Diceros bicornis minor: one gene and its partners. The protein of the gene in region 2 binds, or shares a complex with, the protein of the main gene of each other region. Links are inferred from orthologs where the notes say so. Each region holds a gene or a part of one and is shown on either strand. Other genes may lie near its edges.

Evidence for each region.
Region 1: EXOSC2 (region 2) and EXOSC4 share a complex: the UniProt entries of both Homo sapiens proteins name them as parts of the RNA exosome core complex. The link is inferred for Diceros bicornis minor from reciprocal best matches to the Homo sapiens genes EXOSC2 and EXOSC4.
Region 3: EXOSC2 (region 2) and EXOSC1 share a complex: the UniProt entries of both Homo sapiens proteins name them as parts of the RNA exosome core complex. The link is inferred for Diceros bicornis minor from reciprocal best matches to the Homo sapiens genes EXOSC2 and EXOSC1.
Region 4: EXOSC2 (region 2) and EXOSC3 share a complex: the UniProt entries of both Homo sapiens proteins name them as parts of the RNA exosome core complex. The link is inferred for Diceros bicornis minor from reciprocal best matches to the Homo sapiens genes EXOSC2 and EXOSC3.

Annotation. Positions count from the first base shown.
Region 1 is NC_080760.1:56,711,005-56,718,332, forward strand, and holds EXOSC4 (exosome complex component RRP41), read left to right. Parts: upstream 1-4,489; 5' UTR 4,490-4,588; coding exon 4,589-4,759; intron 4,760-5,902; coding exon 5,903-6,109; intron 6,110-6,213; coding exon 6,214-6,573; 3' UTR 6,574-6,620; downstream 6,621-7,328. UniProt on the Homo sapiens protein: Non-catalytic component of the RNA exosome complex which has 3'->5' exoribonuclease activity and participates in a multitude of cellular RNA processing and degradation events.
Region 2 is NC_080767.1:38,100,718-38,108,829, reverse strand, and holds the start of EXOSC2 (exosome complex component RRP4), read right to left. Parts: upstream 3,044-8,112; 5' UTR 3,025-3,043; coding exon 2,903-3,024; intron 1,310-2,902; coding exon 1,208-1,309; intron 1-1,207. UniProt on the Homo sapiens protein: Non-catalytic component of the RNA exosome complex which has 3'->5' exoribonuclease activity and participates in a multitude of cellular RNA processing and degradation events.
Region 3 is NC_080745.1:63,229,681-63,237,167, forward strand, and holds the start of EXOSC1 (exosome complex component CSL4), read right to left. Parts: upstream 3,039-7,487; 5' UTR 2,985-3,038; coding exon 2,954-2,984; intron 2,847-2,953; coding exon 2,731-2,846; intron 621-2,730; coding exon 546-620; intron 1-545. Other genes in the region: palmitoyltransferase ZDHHC16, read left to right, coding at 6,874-7,116, 7,297-7,487. UniProt on the Homo sapiens protein: Non-catalytic component of the RNA exosome complex which has 3'->5' exoribonuclease activity and participates in a multitude of cellular RNA processing and degradation events.
Region 4 is NC_080767.1:6,212,295-6,219,499, reverse strand, and holds the start of EXOSC3 (exosome complex component RRP40), read right to left. Parts: upstream 3,130-7,205; 5' UTR 3,115-3,129; coding exon 2,782-3,114; intron 2,019-2,781; coding exon 1,869-2,018; intron 1-1,868. UniProt on the Homo sapiens protein: Non-catalytic component of the RNA exosome complex which has 3'->5' exoribonuclease activity and participates in a multitude of cellular RNA processing and degradation events.

The DNA of each region.
Region 1 (7,328 bases), on a different chromosome or scaffold from region 2:
CCATGCTGAGGCGGCGTCCCACATACAGCAACTAACAGGATGTACAACTACAACATACAACTATCTATTGGGCCTTTGGGGAGAAAAGGGGGAAAAAAAAGGAGGAGGATTGGCAATAGACGTTAGCTCAGGGCCGGTCTTCCCCAGCAAAAAGAGGAGGATTGGCATGGATGTTAGCTCAGGCCTGATCTTCCTTACTAAATAAACAAACAAACAAACAAATAAATAAATAAATAAAAGTTGGTTTTCTGTTTGTGATATTGGTTAATTTAAAAAATTTGTGTTACCTGTTGTGATTTCTTTTCTTCCTCTATTCAATTTTGGATATAGGATTTTATCTTCTATTTCTTAAAGAGGGCCCTGTGTGAAAAGAGTTAACACAGCGGGCCTGAGACTGCTCTCCTTCAGGAGGTGTGCTTGCAAAGTTGGCTGGTGTCTGGGAACGTAGATTTTGGGAGGGTTCCCACCATTCCCTGTAAGAGTGGCTCACTGAGCCTAAAATGTTCGTACAAAGACATATGGTTCATGCTGAACTCCTGCTTTCCTTCTGGGAGTCTGGAATTTGGGTATGTGCCAGGCAGAGGGTGCCTATGTGACCAGTCCCCCCCGAAAGCCCTGGACACTGGGTCTCCAGGGAGCCTCCCCGGTGGACAACATTTCACATAGGCTTTTGCTCCTTGTTTCTGGGGAAATGGAGTGTGTCCTGTTCCATTTCTCCAACAGAGGACTCGGGAAGCTTGCGCTTGATTTCCTCTGACTTTGCCCCAGGTGCATTTTCCTTAGCTGATTTTGATTAATATCTTTTCTCTGTAATAAATCTTAGCCATGAGTATGACTATATGTGCTGAATTTTATGAGTCCTCCTAGAAAATCACTGAACCCAGGGGTGGTCTTGGGGATCCCCAACACAGCTCCAAAATTTGTATAAGCTTTAGACCCCCAAGACCTGGATCCCGCCATGTGGGTGACCTATGGCTAGAATACAAGGGTCAGAGAACCAAGGGGGGCAGGAATGATCCGTAGCGTAAACTGGAGATGCTGCCAGCTTGGAGGTCCTAGTTCCCAGGGGTGGGGAACACTTCCACCAGGGGACACAGTAAGGGTTCCACTGATCTGGAACAGTCACCACCCAGCCACTTTGGGCTCCTTAGGCCCATGACAAACATTATCCTGATTATCCTGTGATTCTAGGGCCAATACTGCACAACGGGGGCCAAGCACCCGTGGGGCTTCCACCTGCATCAATGGACAACTACAGCAATCTCTATCTACTATGAGCTCACATCGCTGAGGGAGGAAGGCTCGGGTCACTCTACGAGTAACCAGCTGGGTCCAGCTGAAGAGCCAAGGGTGGGGGAATCAAGGGTGGCTAGTGGCAGAGGATGATGGCCATCATGGCCTCAGACCAGGTGCAGTGGCAGGACTGTGGCTGGCTCACTAGCCCTCGTGCTGCAGTCTTCTAGGAGCCCACCACCTTGGAAGGGATGCTGTGCCTGCAGGACTGTGGTCCTAGCCTGCCACAGTACATCCATCCCACCAGCTCTTCTAACAGCCTGACATTAACCCTGCTCCTACTGAGGGGTGGGGTCCATGTCCCCTCCCCTTGAGCCTGGGCAGACCTTCGTGATCACCTTGACCCATAGAGTCTGGCGGCAGTGACACCACGTGATTCCTGAGACTAGGTCTTAAAACACCATGCATGCCCACCTTGTTGTCTTGGGAAGTCACCTTGGAACCCAGGCGCCATGCTTTGAGGAACCCATGCTGCCTGGAGAGGCCATGTGTGGGTGTGCTGTCTCAACAGCCAGCATCAACCACAAAAGATGTGAGGGAGGAAGTCTTTGAGACAATGCCAGCCCCAGCCACCATCCACAGTGACCACAGGGAGGAAAGATTCTAAGTGCAAACTGCCTAGCTGAGCCCAGGCAACCACCAGAACTGCAAGAAATAATATAATTATTTTTTGTTATTTGAAGTCACTAAGGTTATGCAAGAGGTAAACAGACATACAACCCCTACACAATGCCTTTTTGGAAAGGGTGAGGGTATCTTCATTCTTAAAGGGAAAAAGGAGGCCGTTTTACTTCATTGGATATAATGGGAGGGCATGAGAAGACCTGAAAGAGGCCACATGTGGGCCATATGGGGACACTGGCCTGTGCACCTTAGGCCTCCGTGTATGTTGCCTCCTCTTGGCGAGCGTAGCAACCACGTCGGTTCATCCTTCCACTTTCAAACTTGAAGCATGGGATCTGGCTTCCTAAGCGCTGCAGAGGGGCTGAATAATGCAACTGGTAGAGGGGGAAATGAGCTCCCTGCTGGTGACTTTGACCACTGGGAAAGAGAGGTACTTGGAGACAGGAGGTACCTGGGATGGGAAGCCCCTCATTTCTCCCTCCTGTAGACCCATCAGCAGTCCCATTGGACTGGACTGACATGAGAGGCTGGAATATACCAGGCCAGGAAATGCAAGAGAGTAACAACACCATGTCAGTAACACTCCACAGACTGGCAAGGATTATGTAAAAAACTGTAACACTTATTCCTGGTGGGAAAGGAGGGGAAAAGGAATTCACACTTCCAGCCTTCACCCAGAAAGTCCCTATCTTGGAGTTTCATCCCCCAAGTATAAGCCCCTGAACACACAGCCACTGTCCATAACGGGGCAGTGGCCAGGATATGTCCTGCTATGTACATCCATGGGTATCAAGCAGCCAACAAAAAATCAATGATAGTTCCACAGGACTATATGGATGAATTTCATAAGGTTTTTTTTTTTTTTTTGAGGAAGATCGGCCCTGAGCTAACATCTGCCAACCCTCCTCTTTTTGCTGAGGAAGACTGGCCCTGGGCTAACATCCATGCCCATCTTCCTCCACTTTATATGGGACACCACCACAGCATGGCTTGACAAGCAGTGCCTTGGTGTGTGCCCAGGGTTCCCAACTGGCAAGCCCCCCGTCGCCACATTGCAGCGCACACACTTAACTGCTTGCGCCACCAGGCCGGCCCCCATAAGGTATTTTTTAAGTGAAAAACAGAAAAGTGTGTATGAAATGTCTACTTAAAAAGCAAATTTACCTGTTATTTTATCCTTAAAACCAGTTTATTCCAGAATAGCCAAAAGAGTTCCAATTCCAGAAGTGCATGCTATGGAGAAGGATAAAATCCAGTCAACTAAGGAGGAGAGCTGTCTTTATAGAGAAAAGGGGGAGCAGGGAGGGGCTGTTCTAAAGGAAAGTCCAGGGGCCGGCCCGTGGCTTAGCAGTTAAGTGCGCGCGCTCTGCTACTAGCGGCCGAGTTCGGATCCCGGGTGCGCACCGACGCACCGCTCCTCCAGCCATGCTGACACTGAGTCCCACATACAACAACTAGAAGGATGTGCAACTATGACACACAACTATCTACTAGGGCTTGAGGGGGGGGATTAAAAAAAAAAAAGGAAAGTCCATTAGGGGAAAGTAATAGTTCGGGGCAGCAACAGCTTCTCATTGGCTGAGCTGTGGTGTTTCTCATTGGCTGAGCTGTGGTGTTTCTCATTGACTGAGCTGTGGTGTTTCGCATTGGCTGGGCTGTTGCCAGGTGGGGAGAGAAATCTTCCTTCCTAGTAAAGTAGTTGTACTTCCCGTCAGAGACACAAGCTCTTCTCTTCCTGGTTGGTGTGATTGAGACGTGTGATGGTGGTGAGAGCTCCCCCTGCAGGTCTCCCCAGTCCAGTTTAGTTAAGGTTTCTTTTATTAATTTCCACAGAAGTGATCCCATTTAAAAAAGTAACCAGAGTTCCAAGAGGCACTGTACGGCTGTACATGTACAACTGCATGTATCTGTGTATGACTTGATGTAATTATGAGGACAACATGGAAGGAACCATTTATGAGGTTAAGATAGATGGGGGGTTGCGGACAGAAGAACCATGCCAACAAGGAAAACAAAATTAAAACTGCTATAAAAAGAACATGACCACGTGTAAGTATAATATAAGTTATGCATGTTTTTTAAAAGAACGAATGTAAACATTAAAGGGTAAGAAAAGGAGAAGAGGAAGTGCGTCTGGGCCTGGATGAACCAGTGCGACCAAGAACTAGAAGCCATCAGAGACGAGACGGTTCTCCCTTCCTGCGTCGCTGCTCTCGCCCAGCGAACCGCGAAGGACACTCCAGGCGTCCAGGGATAGCACAGGGAAGCCAGCCGCCCGGGGCTGGGCGCAGAGAGGAGGCGCGGCCGGAGCCCTCGGGCCCTTGGACGGGTCTCAGGCGCGCGCCGGCAGCGGCCAGCGCGTCAGCACACTACCCAATGGGGCGCAACCGGGGGACTCTGCCCTCAGCGGGTCTCTACCCGCGGCAGCCTCAGGACAGCTCCCCCAAACGGCCGCCGGTACGGTCTTCTCTCCCGGGGTCAGCACCGCCCAACTTCCCCGGGACCGGAAATGAGGAAAGTGGCGCAGCCGGGAACCTTAGTTTTCTGAGACCGGAAGTGGGGAGTCGGACCGCCGGAAACCATATGCCCCCGGGAGGTCAGAAGTGCGTAGTCAGGGCCGCCGGGAACTGTAGTTCTCTGTGAGGCGGAAGTGGGGCAGGCGGTCGGCGGCATGGCGGGGCTGGAGCTCCTGTCGGACCAAGGCTACCGGGTGGATGGGCGGCGCGCCGGGGAGCTGCGCAAGATCCAGGCGCGGATGGGCGTGTTCGCGCAGGCCGATGGCTCGGCCTACATCGAGCAGGGCAACACCAAAGCGCTAGCCGTGGTCTACGGGCCCCACGAGGCGAGTGGGCTTGCGTGCGCGAGCCGGGCAGCCCCGGGGTCGGGTGGAGGAACAGGGCGGCGGCCGCTCTGCGGGGTGCGCGTGGCCGCCAGGCTGACCAAGGCTCCGGAGGCGACGGCCGGCGTGCGCCTGCGTCTCCGCAGCACAGTTTCACGGCCGCGGCTCACTCGGAGTAAAAGCCAAAGTCCTTACTGTGATGCACGGTGGTCCTTGCCTTTCTCATCAGCCACTCTCCCTTGCGCTCTCCACTCTTTGCTGTTTCTCAGAGCGCCAAGCGCGCTCCCACTCGCTCCCTACCTCTCACCTCTCTACTCCAACGTCACCGTCGGGATGACGCCTCCCCAGACCACCTTATCCACTTGGCAAGTCCCCTTCCCTACGATCACACACCTCCCTGCCTTTCTGCACCTGTAACCTCAGACATTAACCTATCTTTCTCATCGTTTGTCTCCCCGCTAAAACATAAACTCCATGAGGACAGGGATTTAAAAGCGCCCGGTTTTATTGCCATGTCTCCAGCTCTGAAACAGTGTCTGCCACCGCAGGCATGAAAAAATGTTTGCTTAGCACATGAGTCTAGGAGCCCAGCCTTCCAGCGGGGGGGAACCAGGAGGGGAAAGGCCAGAGGGTGGAAACAAGCATAGCACGTTTTCAGAGCAGAAAGGCTGCTGGTGGGGGAGATAGGGAATAATTCCAAATGAGATTGATGGGTTTCTAGGGAGGGGAGAACTCATGGCTTTGTGGACGAGGGAAAAGATTTAGGATTTTATCTCACACGTGATGGAAAGCCTTTGGAAGGTAAGTAGGATATATGAGTGTGTAAAGGAGATAGAATCAGATTTGATGTTTGTAAACATACTCTGGCTTTGGCTACAAATGGAAAATGGGTTGGGAGGGGATGAGGCAAGGATGGACACAGGAAGGCCTATTAAGAGAGATGAGATCCAGAGGTGATGGTGGCTTAGAGACTGGCCAGTGGCCCTCCCTCAGGCTGTATTTCGGAGTTCAAGTAGTTGTGTTTGTTGAGATGTTGGAGATAGAAGGAGAGGAAGGAGGGAGGCTGAGGTTCCAGTCCTGAGCCAGAGGAAGGGGTAGTGTGAGCTGGGAGGAGTGGGCCTGGCTCATGTGTCCTTCCTTCCCCAGATCCGGGGCTCCCGGGCACGAGCCCTGCCAGACAGGGCCCTGGTGAACTGTCAGTACAGTTCCGCAACCTTCAGCACAGGTGAGCGCAAGCGGCGGCCACACGGGGACCGGAAGTCCTTCGAGATGGGCCTGCAGCTGCGTCAGACCTTTGAGGCGGCCATCCTTACACAGCTGCACCCACGCTCCCAGATTGATATCTATGTGCAGGTGAGCAGGCAGCAGCCCTCAACCCGGGGAGGGGATGGAGGCTGTGAGAGGGGATGGAGGTCCGCAGCCTAATGGACTGATGCCGCTGTGGGGGGTCCCTACAGGTGCTGCAGGCAGATGGTGGGACCTATGCGGCTTGTGTGAATGCAGCCATGCTGGCAGTGCTGGACGCTGGGATACCCATGCAGGACTTTGTGTGTGCCTGCTCAGCTGGCTTTGTGGACGGCACAGCCCTGGCAGACCTCAGCCACGTGGAGGAAGCAGCTGGTGGCCCCCAGCTGGCCCTGGCCCTGCTGCCGGCCTCAGGCCAGATTGCACTGCTTGAGATGGACGCCAGGCTGCATGAAGACCACCTGGAGCAGGTGTTAGAGGCCGCTGCCCGGGCCGCCCGCGATGTGCACACCCTGTTGGACCGTGTGGTCCGGCAGCATGTGCGCGAGGCCTCTATCTTGCTGGAGGACTGAGCATCCAGCCACCTATGCCCAGAATAAAATCCACACAGTCCACTGTACTCGGATCTCCTCACAGCACTTCCATGCCCTCAGAGCCTGGCCTGGTGCTGGCTCCTGGGGGTGACTAGAAACCCTCCCCCACACATGAACTACATATCTCTTGCAGCCTCAGGATTCAAACCCTGAAGAAGGTGGGGGAGTGTGTCCCTGGGTGGAGAGAGCAGCTTGTGCCAGGAAGGGTTCAAGGCAGCTGAGCAGGGAGGTGTGGCCTGGCAGAATGAACCAGGCCATTAGACTGTGGAGTCTTGCATCCTCCTCTTAGCACATCCAGGACCCTGACCACAAGGGCTGAGGGAGAACTCGGCTGGCTGTGGACATGTAGGGGGCCATGTCCCATATCCCCTAGATTGTGGCTTGGATGTAATGGCCCCTTTCCCCACTAGGAGCCGCTTGGGCCTGTCCTGCTACTTACCTTGGTCTCCAAAAGTACAACAGACATGTGTTCTCACCTGGAGTCTTTCCCCCTCAGCTCTGACCCTTCCTCAGTGGATACAGACACTACCCCTGCCCCACCACTGCACCTTCCTCTTCAGCAGACTCCCCCTTCCTCTACCTCTGGCCTCAGACCTGCCAGAGCCCTGATCACCATCCCCTGCAGCCTGCACCCAGGAGCTGCTTCTCCCCTAATATCCCAGGCACCTCTCTGCCTGGACAGGAGTGCTCCCCACTTCCTACTCCACATGCCCCCGCTCCTTTGAAACCCGTCT
Region 2 (8,112 bases):
GGCTCAGTCCTTGGCACTCTTCTCTTTTTGTCCCACACTCACCTCTTGGTGAGCTCATCCAACCTAATGGCTTTAAATACCACTCATGACTGTACAGTTCCCCTGAATTCCAGACGGCAGTGAACCACTGGCTACCCAACATCTCCATTTATGTGACTAAGACACATTTTCAAATGAAATAAACCTAAAACAAAGCTTTCCAGCAGCTCCCCGCCCTCCTCCACTGCAAACTGATCCTCTCCCAGTCATCACCATCTCAGTGAACGGCAACTCCATCCCTCCAGCTGCTCAAGCCAAAAACCTTGGAGTTCTTGGAGGAACCCTTGATTTCTCTCTCTCTCTCATGCTCCAGGACAAGTCCAGCAGCAGATCCTAGTGGCTCTACTTTCACCAGAAAATAAAAGGCATCCAAATCGGAAAGGAAGAAGTACAACTCTTTCTACTCATAAACATGGTCCTATATATAGAAAATCCCAAAGAATACAAAATCAAACACCCTTTTATAATAAAAACTCAGAACACAAAAGATATGCAGAATTAATCGCTATTCCCCACTTCTACTGCTACCACCTTAGTCCAAGCCACCATCACTTCAGATGATGAAAACAGTCCCCTAATCTGTCTCCCTGAGCCTGCGCCTGTCCCTCTTCAATCCCCCCACAGCAGCCAGAGTGATTTTCTTAAAACAGAAGTCAGATCATGCCCCTCTTCTGCTCCAGCCCCTCCGGTGGCTTCCCAGATTATACAAAGTGGATGTCAAAATGCTTATCATGGCTCCAAGGCAGGCCGACTGCCCACCTCAGCTCTCTGCCTGCATCTGCTCCTACTCTCCCCCTCACTCACTCTGTTCTGACCCCACTGGCTTCCTTTCTCGGGCTAACCTTTATTGAGTCCTTTTAGGTAGGAGGCCCAGTGCTAAGTACTTTACATGCACCTTTCCAATGAATTCTAATGAAAATCCTATAAGGTAGGTCATGATATTATCCTCATTTTGCAGAGGAGGGAACAAAGGTTTGGAGAGGTCACATAATGTGGGGAAACCTTTGAAGCCTGCACTTTCTACAGTCACCTATACATGTTCCAAATCGCAGACCTACAGAATGAGAAGGCAGACGGGGGTGGGGGTGGGAGGTGTGGTGTGGCAGAAAAAACCTGGTTGTGCGATATGGATGCCACAAGACAGAGAATACACACCTTTTGTTCTCACCTGGTTTTCAAAGCTTTCACACAGATCAACTTGTTCACTCTCTCCACAGATCCAGCCACAGACGCAATGAGCTTCTCTTCCCCCATGTAAGTCCCATGGCCGCTGTTGCAAGAGGAAGATACAAAGGATATCAGGGTAACACTTGAGATGACTTCTCCCGTCAAGAACAATGTATTCCTCAAACCTAACAGGCTCCTCCTGCCTTAAAGCCTAACTTTTGTGCTGGTTGCTCCCTCTGCCTACAACACTCCTTCTCTAGAGAGCTACAGGGACATCTCCCTCATCTTACTCAAGTCTACTCACATGTCACTTTCGCCATTAGGCCTTCCTCGACTACCCCATTTAAAATAGTCACCCACCCTGCTGCTACCACCCCCATCACATTCCCAACCACATTCCACTTACCCTGCTCGACTTTTAATTTTTTGCACTGCATTTAGCACCAAACATTCTGAATAATTCATTTGTTTGTGCTTATTGTTTATCATCTGTCTCTCCCTGTTAAACTCCACCAGGACAGAGACTCCCACTTTGTTCACTGTTGCACCCTAACCACACACAACATAAATATATGTTGAATGCATGAATGAAGAACTGAATCTTAGGATTTCCTAGGATCCAAGGGCCAGCCCGGTGGCGCAAGCGGTTCAGTGCGTGCACTCCGCTGTGGCGGCCCAGGGTTTGCAGGTTCGGATCCCAGGCGCGCACCAACGCACCGCTTGGCAAGCCATGCTGTGGCGGCGTCCCATATAAAGTGGAGGAAGATGGACATGGATGTTAGCCCACGGCCAGTCTTCCTCAGCAAAAAGAGGAGGATTGGCAGATGTTAGCTCAGGGCTGATCTTCCTCAAAAAAAAAAAAAGATTTCCTAGGATCTAGTAACCTCAAACCAAAAGGTTAAAGGGCAATGCTGTAAATGCAGTAGCCCTCCTACATGTACATGTGTACCCCCCACAAAAAAGGCTGAAATAACACTTGTGTTTATCTACGATGGTGATATGATGGTGAGTTTTGCTTCTTTTCTTAATTATTACCTCATTTAATCCTCATGACCCTATCAAATAGTTACTGTTCTTATCATTTTCTTCCAGACAAGGAAACTGACCTGGGAGAGGTAATACAGCTAATAACAGGTGACAGCAGGTCTGGAACCCCAACTGTCCGACGCAGAGCTGCCCTCTTAACTACAACATATTGTACTGCTTTCAGATTTAAAGTTGTCTGTTTGGGTGCATGGAGCACAATATATTTTTGCCCTAAACCCAAACATTACTGATTCCAAAACCGAGCACCCGGCTAGGAGATGACGCCGAGAGGACAGGAGGTCGAGTCAGGAAAGCCCACCGTCCCCTCAGATAGCTGAAAACTATTAAGAGGCCCTGCCCCTAACCCTCCCCGGTTTCCAGGTCTCCAACGAGGAAGGCTCAGAGAAATGGACCTCAGGCAGAGGACCCAGGAGTCACGGCCACCAGAGATCAGGAGAGGACGGTTTCAGGAGGCCGATGGGGATACACAAGATGCAGGGACTAGAAGCCCGAGACCCGGAAACGAGGCAACTGGGATGCTCAGATGTGCCCTGGGTCCCGCAGGGCCTTAGACGCAAGGGGACAGCGGCCCGGGTTTCGGCCAGCAGGCCACGTGCAGAGAGTCCTGCAGCCGCCCCTTGTGGCCCCGCGTCCCCAAGTTCCCACGTACCGCATGAAGCCCGTGTCCGTGGTGATCGTGTCCCCCGGCACCACCAGGTGTTTCTTACTCTCGCGGCCCAGGCTCTCGCTAAGAGGCTTCCGAGCCACAGGCAGCCTCATCTCCATCGCCATCTTGGCGCCAAAGACTCGCGCAGGCGCAGCCAGGCCGCAGCCGCGAGATCCGGCCCTGCAATTCCCGGCCGTCTCAGGGAGGGGCGCGCGGGGCGGGGCCTCAGAGCAGCCGCCAATGGGAACTCACGGTCTGGCGGCCATGCTGACTATTGTCAACCATTAGGTTAACATGAAGGGAAGAAGGGAGCCGAGTTGCCATTTTTACTATTGGCAAGGCTGCACGTGTGGAATAAAATCTCGGGTTGTATACCGTTTGACTTTTTACCAAAACTCTCTGGTACTCATCATTCCATTTATTGCTTACCAGGGTTAGAGATAATTGAGAAATGGACCTCTGAGTTTCCTTCCAACTCTAAGCTGCTAAAATCTGATGTTTTTGTATGAGAGAGCTCAGAACGATCAGGAGGTGGGATCTACAGAAAACGCTATTTGGACAGAAAGAAGAGGCCTTTTTCTTACTGTTCCTAGTAGCCCCAGTATACTACGTAACAGCCGCCCCGTGGGTGCTGGTTCCTTCTTTCATAATGACTTCTTTGGAGTGAGGTGATTTACCCTAACATTTCTTTTGAAAAAACAAGAAACCTTTAAACGTTACAAGGCAGGTATATTTGGTAGGGAAGACAAGTGCACAGATAGTACAAAGATCCTGGCTTATATTTCCTTCACTTATATATTACTTACATACTGGGAATTCAGCGCTTGCTGTGTGCCAGGCTCAGTTTTGAGGATACAGCGTGGACAGAGAGATGTATATGTGGTTTTTTTTCTCGGTGTCCTGTTTAACATAGGAGCATTTCTGTCGTCTCATCTCCCCGCCTCCCACTAGCCTCTCCCTCACCCTTGTCCTGCATGGTTTGTAGTATTCACAACAAACTGAGTTTCAACCTCAGGAAATTGGAAATGATAATTCTTTATGCACGAGGACCCTAAAGAGGATTAAATGAAATAAGATGCATCAGCCCCACATGCTGTGTTCAGTAAATCAGGCCTGCTGCCTCCATCAGACCAATTGTTTGATAAATCTCCAAATTGAGTGAATTTCTTTCACCTAAGCAAGGCTTACTACTACACTTGTCAAGAAATCCAACCCGTGCGGCAGTCGATGATATAAATTCTAGAGCTCCATAGGTCATCCCGTCAGTGGGCAGACCAAACACTTGCCCTCTTCCCTGCCTGCAGCAAGATCCTAGAGCCAAGAAAGTGTGAGAAGGGTCCATCTGTTGAGTCCAGCCTCGGCCATAAGAGGGCAGTGGTGTCCTTTGAGCCAGCATAGCCCAGTCAGCTAGGGAGCTGGGCCTAGGAGTGCTCCTAGACCGAGTGGGGTGTAGTCTTGACATCATCCAGTCTCATCCCAAGAGGGATGGACGTAACCTTAGCCTCTCCCATTCTCACAGCACTCACGTTTACAAGCCTGTCACAACGTTGAGATTATGGATGCTCTCTTAGTGTGGTAGCAGATTCAGTGTCTGGCCAGAGCTCATTCCCTGGTTCACAGACCACTGTCTTCTCACTGGGTCCTCACATGGTGGGAGGAGTGAGGGAGCTCTCTGGGGTCTCTTTTATAAGGGCACTAATCCCATTCATGAAGGCTCCCTTTCATGACCTAATCACCTCCCAAAGCCCCCACCTCCTAATACCATCACCTTAGGGGTTAGGATTTCAACATATGAATTTGGGGGGACATAAACATTCAGTCCATTGCAGATATCTTTTTATAGAGGAGGAAATCGAGGCCCTCAAGGACTGGAATTCACACAGCACTTGGTGGCAGGGCCAGTGTTCCTTCCGACTGCACCTGCTGTACCCCAGACCCTGCACCCTTGCCTACACACTTCCGGGGGGCCTGGTACTTTGCTGAGTGCTTTACAAACATTGTTGTAGTTATCCCTCACACTCGGCCCATCTTGGAGGTAGGCATTGGTATTCCTGACAATCATTTGGGGCCACCGAGTCCCAACAACAGACCTGCAGCTGGGACTAGAACCCAAGACTGCAGAGCCCCCTCTGGTGCTCCTGTCTCTGCATCGCACTTGCCTCTTCACACCCCGGAGACAAGCAGCCACCCGGAAACAGAGTGCACATCCCAGAGGGGCTTGTTAGAAACAGATTCCTGAGCCCAGACTTAGCCGTTGAGGTTCTACAAAGGTGGGGTCCCAGAAGTCTCTGAGTGTGTGTTTTAACTCCGTGAGTGATTTTAATGGCCAGTCGGGTCTCACATTCATGGATTCCCCCACATCCATCTACCTCCCCATCGGTGCATCTCCAGGGCCACACTCCAAGCCGATCAACGTCATCCCTTACCTGGGTATCACCTAGTAGCTCGTCTCCCTAATTCTACATTTGCCTCCTACCATCCAATCTCCATATAGCAGCCAGAGGGAGCTTTAAAAAACAGATCAGATTAAACCATTTCCTTGCTTAGAACATTCTGGCAGCTTCCCTTTACACTAAGAATAAAATCCAAACTCATCATTGTGGCCCTGTCCATCTCTGACCTCACTTGCCTCCTAACCACTCCCTTACTCACTATGCTGCAGCCAGATGCGCTGGTCTCTTCTGAGTTCCGCATGCAAAGCTTGTCACCACCCCCAGGATCACTGCGCTTTTGGCGAGCTCTGCATGGAATTCTCTTCCCCCAGGTCTTTGTGTGGCTGGCTGCTTCTCCTCACTCAGATCTCAGCTCAAATATCACCTCCTCAGAGAAGCCTTCCCTGACCACCTGATCTGGAATAACTCTCAGTCCCTTTTTTATCACTTGATCCTGTTTTACTTCTTGTCACTGAATTTTCTTGTTTGCTCGTTTTTCGCAGTCTTTCTCCACGAGAACGTGAGTGCTCTCAGAACAGGGACTTTATCTGTTTTGTTCAGTGTGCATCAGTGCTGAGAACTGAGTCTGGCATATAGAGGGCAGCCATACAGTATTTGTTGAAAAGATAAGATAGATTTACAAAATATGTATTTGCTTGTTTGTTTGCTCCATCTGTCTCCCCCGAGGGATATGAACCCCGCAAATGCCCAGACCTTGTCTGTTTTGTTCACAGCCCAGTCCTAGGACTGTCTGGATACATAGCAGGCCCTTGTCTTAACCACGTCCTCTATTTTCTGTGATCTGATGCTTGGATATCTTAGACTTTGCTGATCCTGAAAGGACTGCTTCTCCCAGGGTTAGCTAGTTCCTAGATAGTTAACAACTGGCCCAGGAGTGTGCTTTTCATGTGCAAACTACCCAGCCCAGAGCACACACCCCCAACCACCTCCTTTATGGGGCTCTCACACCCCGGGCCACTATCCACCTGCCCTCATCACCCCAGGGCCAGGTACCAGACAACTAGGGACAGCCCCTATGCCTCAGAGCTCATTGAAATTATTCAAACTAGCCAATCCTAAGCCTGCTCACCCTGCCTCACCCATTCCTTCCTGTGGAAACCACAATAAAGGCTTCTTCCCACATTCTGTCCTTGCTCCCTCTGCCTCCTGATCAAGCCCAGTGCTTCCCCATGTGTCCCTGCAGGGTGTGCTGTGCGTCCTGTTTCTAGCGAATCGTGAACATAACAAACTTCTCCTTTTGTAGCAGTCATTTCCATGTTTGCATGTCTTACCATCCCTGATGAAAACAAATCCCAGGTACCCTTGGAACAGCACCCAATAAATATTTGTTGAATGAATGAATGAACTTATTCAATAAGCGTCTGCAGTTGAACAACAGCACCACTGTGTGCTGTGGGGGCCACAGAGCTGCATCACTGGCTGCCCAGCCATCAAGGGGCTCAGTCAGGAGTTCAGGGATGGGGCGTGGGGGAGGAAAGAAAAGCCCCCCGGACAGAAGTGGTATTTGAGTGAGCCTTGAGGTGAAGGAAGTGTCCACACTGGGCAGTTGGATGGAGGGAGACAGAGGAACTCCAAGTCAAGGTGACTGTCAACTTATGCTACATCTTTTTTTTTTTTTTTGAGAGGACGATCAGCCCTGAGCTAACATCCGTGCTAATCCTCCTCTTTTTGCTGAGGAAGACTGGCTCTGAGCTAACATCTATTGCCAATCCTCCTCCTTTTTTTCCCCCAAAGCCCCAGTAGATAGTTGTATGTCATAGTTGCACATCTTTCCAGTTGCTGTATGTGGGACGCGGCCTCAGCATGGCCGGAGAAGCAGTGCGTCGGTGCGCGCCTGGGATCCAAACCGGGGCCGCCAGTAGTGGAGCGCGCGCACTTAACCGCTAAGCCATGGGGCCGGCCCAAAGTATCAATTTAAAAAGCCAATTCGCCTGTTATTTTATTCTCAAAACAAGTTTATTCGGGAATAGCCAAAAGAACTGCAATTCGGGATGTGCATGCTACAGGGAACCACGGGCAAATCCAGAGAACAAAGGAGGGGAGCTGCTTTTATAGAGAAATAGGGGGAGTCAGGAGGGACTGTTCTAAAGGAAAGTCTATTGGGGGAAAGTAACAGTTCTAGGCAGCAACGGCTTCTCATTGGCTGGGCTGTTGCCAGGTGGGGAGAGAAATCTTCCTTCAGTAGTAAAGTAGTTGTACTTCCTGTAGGAGATGAGAGCCTCCATCTCTTCCTGTTGGGGTGTAATTGACATGTATGATAGGGCATGAGAGTGCCTCCTACAGGCCTTCCCAACTCCAATTTAGTTAAGGTTTCTTTTCTTTTCTTTTTTGTGAGGAAGATCAGCCCTGAGCTAACATCCATACAAATCCTCCTCTTTTTTTGCTGAGGAAGAACGGCCCTGAGCTAACATCTATTGCCAATCCTCCTCCTTTTATTTCCCTTTTTCTCCCCAAAGCCCCAGTAGATAGTTGTACGTCATAGTTGCACATCCTTCTAGTTGCTGTATGTGGGACGCTGCCTCAGCATGGCCGGGCAAGCAGTGCGTCGGTGCGCACCCGGGATCCAAACCCGGACTGCCAGTAGCGGAGTGCACACACTTAACTGCTAAGCCACGAGGCTGGCCCCAAGGTTTCTTTTCTTAATTTCCATATAACCAGCAAGGAAATCTTGAAAAATGTGAAAATAGAGGCAGCAGGGACTCTCTGGCCAGGAGTTCTGGCCCAATTGTGATCTGCCCGCTGGCTTCACCTTGTGTTCCA
Region 3 (7,487 bases), on a different chromosome or scaffold from region 2:
GGGATGGGCAGGGAGTACTGATGTATTACAGTACTGATTAATTTGTACTTCCCCTGAAATACCCTCCCTAAAAGACTTTAAACAAGAATGCTAGAGTTTAAAGTCTTTTGCTTCTCTGCAGAAAAAGGTCTCACTTTAGGTGTTTAAAAATAGGCCTCCTTATCACTCGTTGGTGCCCCTGTTCCCCAGACACAGGTAAAACTATATACTCAGAGAACCAGCTCTGTGAAAGAACTATGCATGCCGGAACTTGCCTGGATTAATCATTATCTAGAAATCTCTAGACCACCACAGCCCAGTAAAACTTTCTGTGACGACAGAAATGTTCTGTGCTGACCAATATGGCAGCCTCTAATCACCTGTGGCTATTGAGCATTTGAAATGTGGCTAGTGGAACTGAGGAAATAAATTCTTAATTTTAATTTATTTAAATTCAAATGGCCATATGTGGCTAGTGGCTACCATATTGGACAGTGCAGTTCTATAATGATCTTGATTTCAGCATTGGACGGGTGTCCTAAGCAGGGAGGTTAGGACCAACTTACCTTACAGGTTACAATAGCCCCCACATCGGGCAGTAACTGGGACTCTGTTTCTCTCATCACAGACACGACAGGAAGCTACAGAGAGAACAATAAAACATGAGTATCCTGGCTAAGCCTTGGGTAAAGCTATCTGTGGTTTGAGAGTAACACAGGAATGCCTTGGTTCACAGTTGAGGTCACAAGGGCAGGGGGACTACAGATGCATTTGTAGCCCAGAACAGAAAGCCTTAGAAATTTAGGAAATAGGAGGGCCAAGGAGCCACAGGAAGAATGCTGCTAGAAGACATAATCTAACCATTTCCAATTAGTTCTAATACGTATCTTGGTGATTTTCTTAGAATTTCTTGGTATACAACCATAGGGTCTGTAATCATGGATAATTTGACTCTTTCCTCCAAAGTTATACTTCTTTCTGCCTCGCATTTTATTGTACAGGCTAGAATTTCCAAATAAATGTTATATAATAGTGGCCATACTTGTTTATTTCTATTTAAAATTTTTTTATTTGTTTATTTATTTTTCCCCCAAAGCCCCAGTAGATAGTTGTAGGTCATAGCTGCACATCCTTCTAGTTGCTGTATGTGGGACGCGGCCTCAGCATGGCTGGAGAAGCAGTGCGTCGGTGCGCGCCCAGGATGCGAACCCGGGCCGCCAGTAGTGGAGCGCCCGCACTTAACCGCTAAGCCACAGGGGAGGCCCTGTTTACTTCTATTTTAAAGGAATACTTGTGGAGTTTTCTCTTTGAGCGTGGTATTGTGTGCTGGTGTAAGACAAGATATTTGGAATCTCCTCTTTTATTAATCTTTCCCTTGTTCACTATGCTTCAGCCCTCCCCGCCTTCTTTCAGTTTCACCAACTCACTAAATTTCTTCCCATCTCAGGATCTCTGTTCAACCTGTTATTTCTGCCAGGACTGAGCTCTCCCCACCCACCCAACTCTTATTTACCTTTTAGATTCAGGTTAAATGTCACTTTCGATGACTAGGTAAGTGTGCCTATTATATGAGAACATGGTACCCTATAATATTCTTTCAAAGCAGTCATCACATTTGTAACCATACATTCATTTGAGCATTTATTTGTTAACATTTGTGTTTGTGAGCCTTCACAGCAGAGATCATGTGTATTTGGCTCATTACCATATCCCTAGAGGTCAGCACTGTGCCTGGCACATCAACCGATATCTATATCTGTGAAATAAACTCACGATTGTTAAGGACATTCCCAAAATTGATTGAATAAAAAGCCTCTCGTTTTACAGATGAGGAAGAATCTAAAGCCAAAGAGTTTAAGTTTCTTACCTAAAGCAGAATCGAGGTCTAGTTAGCCAGTGGCTAAGCTTCTAATTCTGACTCCTCTTTCTACTATGCTACCTGTCACTTCGAAGACTCCTTATCTGATCATGAGTTAATCCTGGATCAGTCTCTGGAACTAGGGAAGATAGTATTGCTCATGCATTCAACAAACATTTATTGAGCATTTATTTTGTGCTAGGCCCTGAAGGTTTGGTGGTGAGGCCTGTTTTCATAGAACTTATAGTAGGGAAAGAGTCTAGCGGACAACATTTAACTGAGTGTTTAACTATAAATGCTTGAAAGGAAAGAAATACAATTCTTCGTGAGTGTTTAACAAAACAAGCAACAAACAAAAAACAAAACTCCTCTCCTCAACTAGCGGGTCTAGGAGGCTTCTCTAAGAAAGTGATACCAGAGGGGCTACGTGAAGAATAGGTAGGACTTAAATAGGCTAAGGAGGAAAGGAGCACGTTTCAGACAGACGGTGTGTGTACAGAGGCTCTGTGGCAGGAGAAAGCCTGGCGCATTAGCGACACTGACAGAAGCCCGTATGACTAGATCGCAGAGAGCGAGGCGGGGACAGTGAAGCGAGATGAGGCCGGAGAGTAGGCGACATTCGGACAGAATTCAGCTCACTGCAGGGCTGAGCTCGCCTCTGCTCTTCCCCTACTTCCTTCCCTGAGTGTCAGCGACACAACCAAGTGAGACTAACACAACTGTCAGGTGGCTAGGCGCCCGGCAGCGGGGACCACAGCGGAAGACACTCAGAAACCAGCTCGTTCTGCCGCTGAGCACTAAAGACGCGCCCGCGGCGCCCCTGGCTAGGGCCGCGAAATCCAAGGCGGCCTAAAAGAAAGGCAGGGACGGAGATGGGATGCCGCCCCCTTTACCGCGCCGTTCTCGCTGCTCTTCGTCAGGCAGCCAGCAAGCGACGAAAAGATGTAGCCGTGCCGGGTGTAAGTGCCGCTGCCCGGACTGCCCTCCTCCAAGTTACACAGACGTTCGCCTGAAGAAAAAGCGCTGCATCAGCCACGGGGCCCCAGGAGGTGCTGGCCGTCCAGCCTTCCCACCTCTGTGCCTGTCCAGGATTCGCTGTGGGCACCGCTCACTTACCGGGGATGCAGTACCTCACGGGTGGCGCCATGATTGCCACTACCCCGAAACCGGAGGCAAACCAAGGCGGCTTCTCATTGGCCAAAATCCAGTTGCAGTTCCGCAGTAAGAAGCGTGCCAATTGGTGCGATTCATCACGTGCTCTCCGACGGGGGGCCCTCCCCCCTCAGGGGGTAGACTCCATTTCCCACGTGGCCAGGGACGAGCCCGGGGGCGGAGCTCCGGAGCGCCTGCGCTTGCGCTTGCGCCTGTTGTCGAGAATGGGCTGGCGGCGGGTCCGGGTCTGCGGACCGGCGCTGTGGGTGGCAGGCCATGCTTGGACTCTTTGAGCCGAGCCGGGCCAGGGCGCAGAGCTGGAGGGGGTGGCCGTGAGCGGCGGCGGAGGCTGCGGGGTTCGATTTGGCTGACTGGGGAGTCGGCAGGTAAGAGCCAAGCCGCGGCTTTTGCTCCCCAGTCCTGTCCCTTTTTCTAGGGTCGGGCCCTGTTCCGGGGCCGTCTCGTGAGCCCGGGTTCCTGCTCTCTCCTCGCCCCGCCCTGCACGGCCGTGCCCTGTTTCAGCTGGGTGGAGCGTACCCTCCGGGCACCCGTAACGCGCGGAGCTGGGAGGAGGTCAGCAACCTAACTCGCCCATTTCACAGATTAGGAAACTCAGATCCAGGGCTAGGATTTGACTTGTCCACTGTCTCGAAGATAGTTCAAAGTAGAGCCCCAGCTGGAATCCGAGTTTTTTAACGTCCAATCCATCGCACTTTGACCACGCCACCCTCATTGAGAAAACCTTTTCCCGGTTTTTGTAATTGCAGCTGCCGATCTTGCAGTCGGATCCTCTCAAGCGGAGGTCTAGTGTGGGCCCATCCTTAACTTTTTCTCTTCCTAGCATTAGTCCAGAAGGGAAGTCTGCACATGAATAAAATTGCTACTCTTGTTGATGATTGACCTCTGCTGCTTAAGACTGCGAACATCCTGAGAGCAGCATCTTTGTCCGGATGAGATTGGCCACGACTTTCATCTTAGTTTTCTCTGTCTTTTAGTGGCTTTGGAATCTGTCCCTCCCTGTGCAACACCCGCTCCCCCTCATCCAGATTCCCCTTGGGAAACAGTTGGTGACTTAGAGCCTTGGGAAGAGGGGAGTGCTGTGGCCTGCAGTCCCCTCTAATCTGGTGGGGATGTTACTATGGCCTGTGATCAGTAGTGCTCAAGACTTGTGCTTGGGGTAAAGATGTGCTTTGCTTTGTTTCCTCCCTTCCCCCTGAGATCAGCGGGGGGGGGGGGGGGGGGGGGGGGAAGGAGATGGGGAGACGGGAGACGGATGGGACAAGACCGCTTCCCACACATAATTTTTTTGAGTTCTCCTTTACCTCAGTTTCCTGAGATGAAAACTCCCTACGTTCGGTTGTGGCCCCATGGACTACATATCTCTTCCCTGGCATCCCATACCCCCCAAATCCCACTAGCTAAAATGATGGGGAGCTTGGCTTCAGACTTTGTTCCTTCAAATCTGATATGTAGCTCTGCATCTACAAGCTTTCTGTTTACATATTTGGGTTGATTTCTGGTTGGACTTGTTTCTGAAATGCTATCTAACCTTAAGTCTATATGATTCTAGCAATGGTTTCTCTGTCTCTCTGTTGATCATGAAACATGATAGCAACAGACACTTGTTTACTGTAATCACATTGGCAGGCATGCCCTTGTTATTTGTAGGACAGATAGACATCTGGCCAGCCTTTCTTTTCCACTTCAGCATCCCTCCAGGTCATTCCTTCAGCAAGTCTTTATTGAGTACTTCCATGGTCCAGGTATTGTGCTAAGCACTTTATAAACATTTCATTTATACCTTACCAAGTGTGTGTCTAGAATCGTAAAGGGGTGGAGCTGGAAGGGACCTTAGCATTTAATCCTACCCCTTCATTGAATGGGAACACAAAGAAATTGAGTCTCAGTAGAGTTCGGAGATTTGCCCAAGGTCACAGAACTACTTAAAGGCAGAACTGAACCCTAAGCAGTCAAGTTACGGGGCAGATGAGAGTTAGTAAGTCAAGTCCTTGAGGCAGGCATTTCCTGTAGAGCTTAGGAATTCTGGAGGTGGTTGAGAACATTCCGAAAAGTGGAGAGTCTGAGAAGGAAGATTTTTTTGGTAGAAAGGAGAGATGGTATTTAATTCATGTTTATTACAGATGAGGAATGCATCTTATTTGCAAGCTATTGCAAATAGGAAACTCTCCATTAGCCATAGTAAGGGAATGAACAGTGGTGTGGGCAATCCAGGTCACTTGGAATGGTTGTGGGGTAAAATGTTTTGTCCCACTCTTATATTTGATTGTGGCTGTATACTATTTTGAAAATTCAAGGTTCCAGCCAAACCATGGTTCCAAAGAATAGGAGTCCAACTCAAAGGAAGTAGGAAGTTTGAGCTTTTCCTTTTTCTCTTTTCTACGCTGCCCCTTAATTCTCTTAGCTCTTAGGAGGTGATGGGAATGGCCAGTTTCTTTATCCTTGTGCAGAGAGTAGATCCCTACTAAATTGTCTTTCTTCTGTTTCTGTGCTGGCCTTGTCTGCCAAATTTCATTTTGCGTTAAGTCGTTACAGACCTTGTGGAAGGAGGTGATTAAATGTTTTCTTTGAAAGGCCTCTTGTGGGGATGAGCCAGGTGCAAGGAGAATACTTTGCTCCAGTGACTGAATTGAAACTGTCCCTACAGTGGAGCAGCCTCCTCCAGTTTCTGCTGGGTTTCAAGCTGCCTGTTAAATAAGTCAGGGGAGTTGCTGAGGACAAAGTAGCCCTAGGGGAAAACTGGTTAATTTCTTTCCTTGTAAGGACTGTAATCTGCGGAATTGATGAGACTATCATCGAAGGAATCTGTGTCTTGTGGGCAGGTGACCTTGCACGGCTGTTGGATGAGATAGAGACCACATAGAGGAGATGAAGGTGCTTGCAGAGGAGCTGTGCAGAGGGCTAAAGAGCCGAGAAGACTGGTTGGGAAGCTTGGGGCCAAGGGCAGCAGCCGCAGAGAAGGCTCTTGAGTGTCCAACTAGAACAAGGCAGGGGAGACTCATCACAGAGAGGACAGGCCCTGTGGTCTTAGGAGCCACCAGCATGGATGCCCCTCCCACTGCCAGTGGTTGCCTGCCTGTGGTGTTTTTCTGCTCTGAATACCTGAAGTTGTCTTGGCTTCTGTGTCCTTGGGCTGGGGCTGGGCCTGGAATTGGAAGCAAAGCATCTTATATCATGCAAGGGGTAGCTGAGCTGTCCTGACAGGATTTAGGGACTCTACCTGCTACCAGGTTGGGTCTGGTGGCCTGTAACGTCAGCTCAGAGGGAGTAGGAAGGCTGAGTGTCTTTTGCCAAGAGTCAGAAAGCACCAGGAAGATCTAGGTGCAGAGTCCACATGCTGTGCCCTCACTCCCCTACTGGCTGTTCCATGTTGAAGAGCAATTGTTAGGAGGTAGGTTGATGGGGCAGGGCGGACAAGAGACCCTGGGAAACTTCTGCTGCAGTGGCCATGCCCATAGAGACGCAGTGGGCAGCTTTGTGCACATTGCCTGTGCTCCACCCGGTGGTCTGACCCTGCTTTGTGCTTTGGCTTGGAGCCGCCTGCCTCCCTCACCCCTTTACTGTGGCCCTTTACTCTAGGTGTGCATCATCTTGGATTTCCTGTGCAACCACGTGGTGGAATGTAAGTAGGATTTCTGCAGGCTCAGAACCTCCAGACCCTACTCCCTGTAACGTGATTGGGACACTGGCATCACACATTCTGTAGAGAAGTGACTTTCCTACTTCCCACAGCTGGTGACTGGCCCAGCTAGGCCTCAGCCTTAGGTCTTTGCCTCTAAGCTGGTGTTCTGGGCCTCCCCACTGGTGGGGTAGGGAGGGACAGGACCCAGGCTGGCCCCTCACAACAATATGCTCTCCTAGGAGCCATGCGGGGCCAGCGGAGCCTGCTGCTGGGCCCTGCCCGCCTCTGCCTGCGCCTGCTTCTGCTCCTGGGCTACAGGCGCCGCTGCCCACCTCTGCTCCGGGGCCTGGTACAGCGCTGGCGCTATGGCAAGGTCTGCCTGCGCTCCCTGCTCTACAACTCCTTTGGGGGCACTGACACTGCTGTCGATGCTGCCTTTGAGCCCATCTACTGGCTGGTGGACAACGTGATCCGCTGGTGTGGGGTGGTGAGTGATGCCCAAGGAATAGGAAAAGGGATATTTTGGGGTAGCAGAGGAACATGTGTGTGATGGACCCACACTGGGCTTTGGAGGCCAGCCTCCCCCCACCCCGGGAAATTCCTAAGTCTACTCTGGGTGTTGGCAAGCTCTCTCTCTGCATCTGCCTGACCTCACTGGTGTTGGCAGGTGTTCGTGGTGCTGGTGATCGTGCTGACCAGCTCCATCGTGGCCATTGCCTACCTATGTGTCTTGCCCCTCATCCTCCGAACCTACTCAGTGCCCCGACTCTGCTGGCATTTCTTCTATAGTCACTGGAATCTGATCCTCATCGTCTTCCATTACTACCAGGCCATCACTACTCCACCTGGATACCCACC
Region 4 (7,205 bases), about 32 Mb from region 2:
GTAGTTATTTAATCTTATATTTAAATTAATTAAAATTAGATATTTAAAATATCAGTTCCTCAGTTGCATTAGCCACATTTCAAGCGCTCAACAGCCATGTGTGGCTAGTGGCTACCATACTAGTCAGTGCAGATGTAAAACATTAGCGTCATCACAGAAACCTCTCTCAGACAGCACTGCTCTAGGAATTACAGAAGATTGATGGATAAAAGAAGCCCCTGACATGCAAATTATTCGAAGCAAAATGGAACTGGTGGGGGCCCACCCAGTGGCGCAAGCGGTTAAGTGCGCACGCTCCGCTGCTGGCGGCCCGGGGTTCCCCGGTTCAGATCCCCAGCACGCACTGATGCACTGCTTGTTAGGCCATGCTGTGGCGGCGTCCCACATAAAGTGGAGGAAGACGCACATAGATGTTAGCTCAGGGCCAGTCTTCCTCAGCAAAAAGAGGAGGATTGGCATCAGATGTTAGTTCAGGGCTGATCTTCCTCACAAAAAAAAAAAAAAAATGGAACAATGGTAATTCACTGACAGTTCTCCATGCAAGATTTACTTAAAAACCTCAGAGTTGAACTTCAAAATGATGAAACTAAGGAAATGGAGAGTGAACTTGTTCTGTTAAGTATGTACCATTTGTTGGTGACTAAAGGAACTGGAGAGGAACAAAACATTCTCTGCCTTTCAGAAGCATTTGGTCTCAGAGCGCAGTGGGGATGTACATATAAACAACAAACTTCATTCAAGGCTGAATCCAGGAAGTGCTGGAGCAAAGTTATCAGAAAAGTGATTGAGGATTCGGGATGGTTTTACAGAGGTGGTGGTGTTTAGCCTGGGTCTCAAAAGATGAGCATGTGTTCCACAGGCTGAGAGGGGACAGAGTAGTCCAGATAGAGGGAACACCATGAGCAAAGGCACAAGGACAGGAAGTTATGAGTTCAGTAATGCTGGTAAATAGTTTGGTGTGGTTCAGGCATGGCTGCATAGAGGAAAAAATTATGGATGAGGGAAGACTTCTGGAGTATAATGCCAAAGAAATATGTAGGCTTTGAAGAAACCCTTTTTGTTTTTTTTGGAGGAAGGGGAGTGTGTGAGGCTGTCAGCTCTCAAAAGCCTGGTTGGAGGGGCAAATGTGTACAGGCAGGGATGTTAACGAGGAGGTCACTGACCGAGTCCAGTCAAGAGGTAGCTAAGGCCAGAACTTGTGAAATGGAGATACAGGGGTGGATATGCAGAAAATCAGAAACAGAAACAAAAAAGATCAGTAAGATTACGCAACTAAAGACACATGAGAGGTGAGTGAGACGGGGCAAAGAAACCACCAAGTTTCTGGCTTGGGTGGATAGGAAGAGTGTGGCTATGCTCCACGAAAAGCCCCAGTTGAAAACTTGAGGTAACAAGACTGCTCCTCTGTCAGCTCCAAGAAGGGATTGCTGGGAAACAGTGATGTGACTGACGTTGTGAGGTGCCAGACCCAGGACCTACAATCAGGATGGATGGTGGGCTGATATGGCAATTCTCACCACTTATTCCTCCTTCCTCCCTAAGCCTACGGCTTACTTCTTTGTCCCGTGGATACAGACATAACAGATAACGACGGAAAGAACAGATATAACCTTTCAACTCCGTAGAGATGAAACATCCCCCAATTTAAATAAGCAAATGTAAAATAAGTATGTGGCTCTGGTCCCAGAGCTGGAGCCTCGGAAGGAACTCCTGGAGCCTGGAGTGATTACACAGACACTGAGAGATCATACGACAAGACTGGGAAAAGAGGTCAAGCTTAGGAAACAATTCAGGTAGCCTCCTGAATATCTGAGTGTTTCTGAATATTTGGATGCTTTTCTTTTAAAACCAAATGCTCCCATCATTACCTGCACATTTGGTCTGTTTCTTTTAGTTGCACCTTCAAATGCCAAGTAAGACAAAGAAGCAGGCTCACTCCCTCCAACATCAACTTTGAATGTATCTCCAGATTTAGCTGTCACTATGCCAATCACATGGTCTCCTTTCACTGGGACATACTACAAAAGAAAACAGAACAAGAGAACAACCATAATGACAATCATTTCCAAGAGATCTTGGAAGATGTCTTCAGCAAGTCCTTAGTGATTATTTTATTATGTTTGTCATTAGAGATATTCCAAAAATATTTTGAAATCCAAGTTCATAAATTAATACAAATCTTACAACAAACTTGATCATACGCCATTTTCAACAAAAGAAAAACAATCACGTCATAAGCGCTCAGCTTTACAGCTTCAAACGGTCCGTATCCCATACCTCTTCAGTAACCTTATCAGGAAGGGCCCAGCCGCCACTTGCACATTAAGTCCAGTGACACAAGGCGTCCTCACAACCAAGGAAGGCCACTTCATTGTTACACAATTTTTCCTATATGAAAGTTCTCACTTATTTTAAGAGAAATTTAACTCCCTGTGACATCCACTCAGTGAGACTGGTTCTGCCCTCCGAGACCCCAAAAGATAAGCCAGGTGCCCCGACCTGTGGGATTTTGCAGACAATGACCATGTCTCACAGTCCTTATCCCGTTATACGCCAAGATTCCCAAACTCCTCTCTCTCCGGGTTGCCCTTCTCGGGCCACGTTCCCGCTGTTCACGGTCCCTCCACAGGAGATGCAGAGGTGGGCACAAGACGACGGGGCTCTAGGCCAGCCTTAACAGAGGTGGGCTCCAGGGCCGCCTCGCTGTCTCTTCCGAGAAGTCTTCCCAGAGCGGGGAGACCACCCGCACGGCCGTACCACCCCTCCGGAGCCCCAACTCACCCGTTTCTGCTGCGAGTCCACCCAGTACACGCCGCTGCCGCCGCCGCCGCCGCCGCCACCGGGCTCCTTGTGACGGAGGCGGCCGCACTTGGTGACCAGCAGGCGGTCGCCACAGCGCCGCAAGCCCGGGCCGCACACGACGCGCACCCGGGCGCGCGCCCCGGCATTCAGGCGCAGCGGCCGCTCCCCGGCGCTTCCCGGGCCGTCCGCGTCCTCCTGCTCCGGCAGCAGCAGCTCCTCACCCGGGAGCACCACCTGATCCAGCACGGCGCGCGCCGCCCGCGCCCGGCCACCCGCAGGGCACTCGGCCGCCACGGCCGCCGCCTCCGCCATACCGGACGCCACCACACACTTTCCGGCTTCCGCTTCCGCTCCGCGTCCAATCGCCAGCCCGCCCCAGCCCTTCCGTTTCCGGCAGTTGCGGTCTGTTGGACTTGAACCAACTACGTCTAAGAAGCCTGGCCGCGGCGGGCCGGTGGGCCCGCCGAGGAGGCCATGATTGTGTCTCAGCCGGCCGCCTGTCCTGCAGTCTGTCCGCGGGTCGCTCCGAGAAACACGCAGCTGGAGTCGATCGCAGAGCCTGCACTTGCCGTGCTCGGTCGCACAGTGGGATACCAGACGCTCTCACCTGTGGGTCCGTGGGAACCTTGGGAACTGAGCGGAGGGGGCCCTTCCTTCCGACTCCGCCCTCAAGGAAACGTATTTCTCTTCTTCAAAATAAAACCTTTTTGGTTGTTGCTAGAGAAGATATCTATTCACATTGTGGAAAACAGAATAATAAAAGAAAATAAAACGCATTAGTCTTCTCCCGTTTGTCTCCCTTGCTAGGCTGTCAGCGAGTTATTCTATGTAGCCCAGGGTCTGGCACCAAACAGGTAATTCCTGAAGGATGAGTGGATGTTAACATTTTGGTATGCATTTCTCCCTAGACTTTTTTTTCCCTGCAAACACACACATCACATGCGCATTTCCGCATAACTGAGCTACCCTACATGGCCCGGGAAAACTGAGTGCAGTTCAGTCCTTGCTGCTGCCTGCCCTGGAGCACACTTTAGTTGCCCGGGTGAGAAGCTGCCGAATTCCAGGTCCCCAGCACACAGCCAATCCTTGACTTTCAGGGCTCTTACTTGAAATCAGTTTCCTCTGTCAACTGGCACCTCCAACTGGCGTTTGGTCAGATCCCCCAGAGGGGTGAGAGCTCCTGGGGACTGGAGGGCCTGGCTCTGCCCATCTCTTTGAGGCATCTGCTCCCAACGTGAATTTTTAGATTTTTAGGATGTTTAAGACAGACCATCTCTAACATACCGTCCAAATTTGGAAAGATGCTGGCGAGCCAACTGAATGAGAGAATATTAAGAGGCCAACTGAAATGTAGCTTTTGTTTTGCAGTCAGATGGTTGTAGGAACTGCTCTTTGTCGGTTATCCTGGCAGGCGGAACTGTGTACATTCTTTGTCTCTCCTCCCCACTCCAACCCAGCTGTAGAAGGCCTGGAACCAGTAGGTATCGGGTGATCGCGGCTGGCCCAAGGCCATGCCCAGGGCGCTCAGTGACCTGGAGTGTGACCAGGCAGAGAGGGAGGTCGAGAAATGATCCCTGGGTTGTCCCTCACGCACCCCACGTCGGCAGAGGAGTCTGGAAAAAGAGACTTTCGGTCCAAATCTGGCTGAGGAGGCCTATCAAGTCCACCTCCCGGTGGGGGCGGCACGTGGGCATCGTGCGCCTCATTCCCAAGTCAACAGAAGGAACTAGAAGCCGAGAGTAGGGCAGTCGCTGGAGACCGGAAGCTCGGCGGGAGGGGCGGGTCGTCAGCCCCGCGCGGGGTCGCCGTCCCCGACACGCCTGGAGAGGCGGTCGGGCCTCCGCGCCGCGTGCCTTCGCGTGGGTGCGTCGCCGCCCCGGCGCCCCGCGGCCGCTGGTGAGCGGGAGCGCGCGGCCCGGCTGAGGCCGGCGGGCGGGCCGGGAGACGCGGAGGGCCCCCCGCGTGCCGGCCGGGGGAAGCCCGGCTCCGAGCCGCGGCCGGCCTTAGGGTCCGGTTGGGGCGCGGTTACGAAGTTCGCGTCCGAACGCGGACGGGCTGGAGCGCCGCGGGTGTGAAAGGGCCGGTGGAGATGGGCGCGCGGAGGCGGCCGTGCCGGGGTTCGGCGGCGCGCCTTCCTCGCGGCCGCGCGGGGGCTCCCGGCGGGGCGGCCGGGGGCTGAGGCCCACTCCTGATCCGGGCCGACTCTACCCTAGCGTAAGACAGTCTGGGGGCTTGCCGGGTGGGAGCCCGCGCAGGAGGCGCGGCGCTGCCCTCGACCGCCTCTGGCGCACACCTCCCGTTTCTCAGTATTTCCCTCGGGGGAAGGACCAGCTTTCCCTTCGGAAAGGTTGGACCGGACCCCGGCCTTCGGACTCTCTCCCCAAACTTCCTCTTTAGAAACCTTTGCTACTTGAGAAGGTGGAAAAGTGGCATCTCACGGTTGCTTTTCTTTATTGAGTAATGAAGTTGGACGGGTTTGTTTCCTTTCAATCGACGACACTAGTTGAGCATTTGCTCCGAGCCAGGAATTGAGCTGGGCAATCAGTTGAATCATGGTCCCTGCCCTACTGTCTCCGCATGAAGATACCAAGTGTTACGGTGGGTGCACCAATCTGATGAGGGTGTCAGCCCCGACTACAGAGGATGAAATGGTTCACTGTATGTGGGAGGAAGGTTGGAGTCAAGATAGGTGTCCCAAAGGAGGTAATATTTGAGTGAACCTTTAAAATTTTTTAGTTCACTGGTTTCTAACAGTTACAAATGAACTACATGCTGATTTGTATACAGAAATTAATAGTAAAAGAGTCCATAGAAGTGTTAATATCTTTATTCAAGTAAAGAATTTAAACGCAAATGCTCACAGTTACCACTGCACAAGTGAGAGTCTACTTGCTACAGATATTTTTAGTCACAAGTAATCATGGCTAATAAGAATTAGAGCTCGCACCCGAGGAAGAGCACCCTGCTGGCCAGGACCGATTGAGACCTTGTTGGAGAGGACAGGGCCACGGCTTGTTAAAGGGTGGGAGTCACTGGGAATCTGTGCCAGTGGAACTTGCTGGCACTTCTAGGGCGCTGGGGAAAGCTATTCCTGGGGAGGTGTCTCCTGGAAGGCTCTATTACAAAACTGCCTGATAGGGTGCTGGGGAAAACTGCTGGCTGCTGGGTGTTTCTGGGCACCAAGCAAAGCCTGAGAAGCTGCCATGCTGCAGGCGCATACCAGAGAGCACAATGGAGCCAGGAAGCAAAACCCATTCCTCCTGCAATGCCTCTGCAGGGCCTTCTACCTACAAAGATTGTCTTCATGAGAGACAGCAAAGGAAAGATATCTTAAAGGACCAGATCCATTTTCTCAGAGCAGGCAGTAAAGGGTGAGTTTAGAGCTGAGCAGCAATACATTGATAACTGGTCCAAGGTCTCATGAGGTTGTAAAGTCAACAAACTCATCAGTAACAGCAGTAAAGTGGAGTCTACTCAGGCCCAGATGGCTTCACTGATGAATTCTACCAAACATTTAAAGAATTAATACCCATTCTTCACAAACTCTTCCAAAAAAACAGAAGAGGAGGGTACACATCCCAACTCATTCTATGAGGTCATTATTGCCCTGATATCAAAACCAAAGATATCACAGGAAAAGGAAACTACAGATCAATATCTCTCATGCATATAAGACACAAAAATCCGCAACAAAATACTAGCAAGCTAAATCGCAACATATAAAAAGGATTATACAGTATGACCAAATGGGATTTTAATGCATCTGAAATCAATTAATATAATACACCATATCAATAGAATAAAGGACAAAAACCACATTATTATCTCAATAGATGCAGAAAAAGCATTTGAAAACGTCCAACACTGTGTCATGATAAAAACACTCAATAAACTAGCATTAGAAAGGAACCTCCTTAACCTAATAAAGGGCATCTATGAAAAACCCACAGCTAACATCATACTTAATGGTGAAAGACTGAAAGCTTTTTCCCTAAGATGAGGAACAAGACAAGGAAGTCTGCCCTCTCCACTTTATTCAACATTGTACTGGAGGGTCTATCACAGGCAGTTGGGATAGAAATGAAAAAGAAATGAAAGGTATCCAGATTGGAAAGGAAAAAGTAAAACTATCTCTAGTTGCAGGTGAAATGGTCTGGTATATAGAAAATCCTAAAGAATCCATAAAAAAAAAAAAAACTTTAGTTTAGAACTAACAAACAAGTTCAGCAAGGATGCCAGATTCAAGAACAATATACAGAAATCAATTGCATTTCTATACACTTGAAATGAACAACCAAAAAATGAAATTAAGACAACAGTTCCATTTACAATAGCATCAAAGAGAGTAAAACTTTTGGAAATAAATTTAACAAAAGAGATGCCAAACTTAAACTCTGGAAACT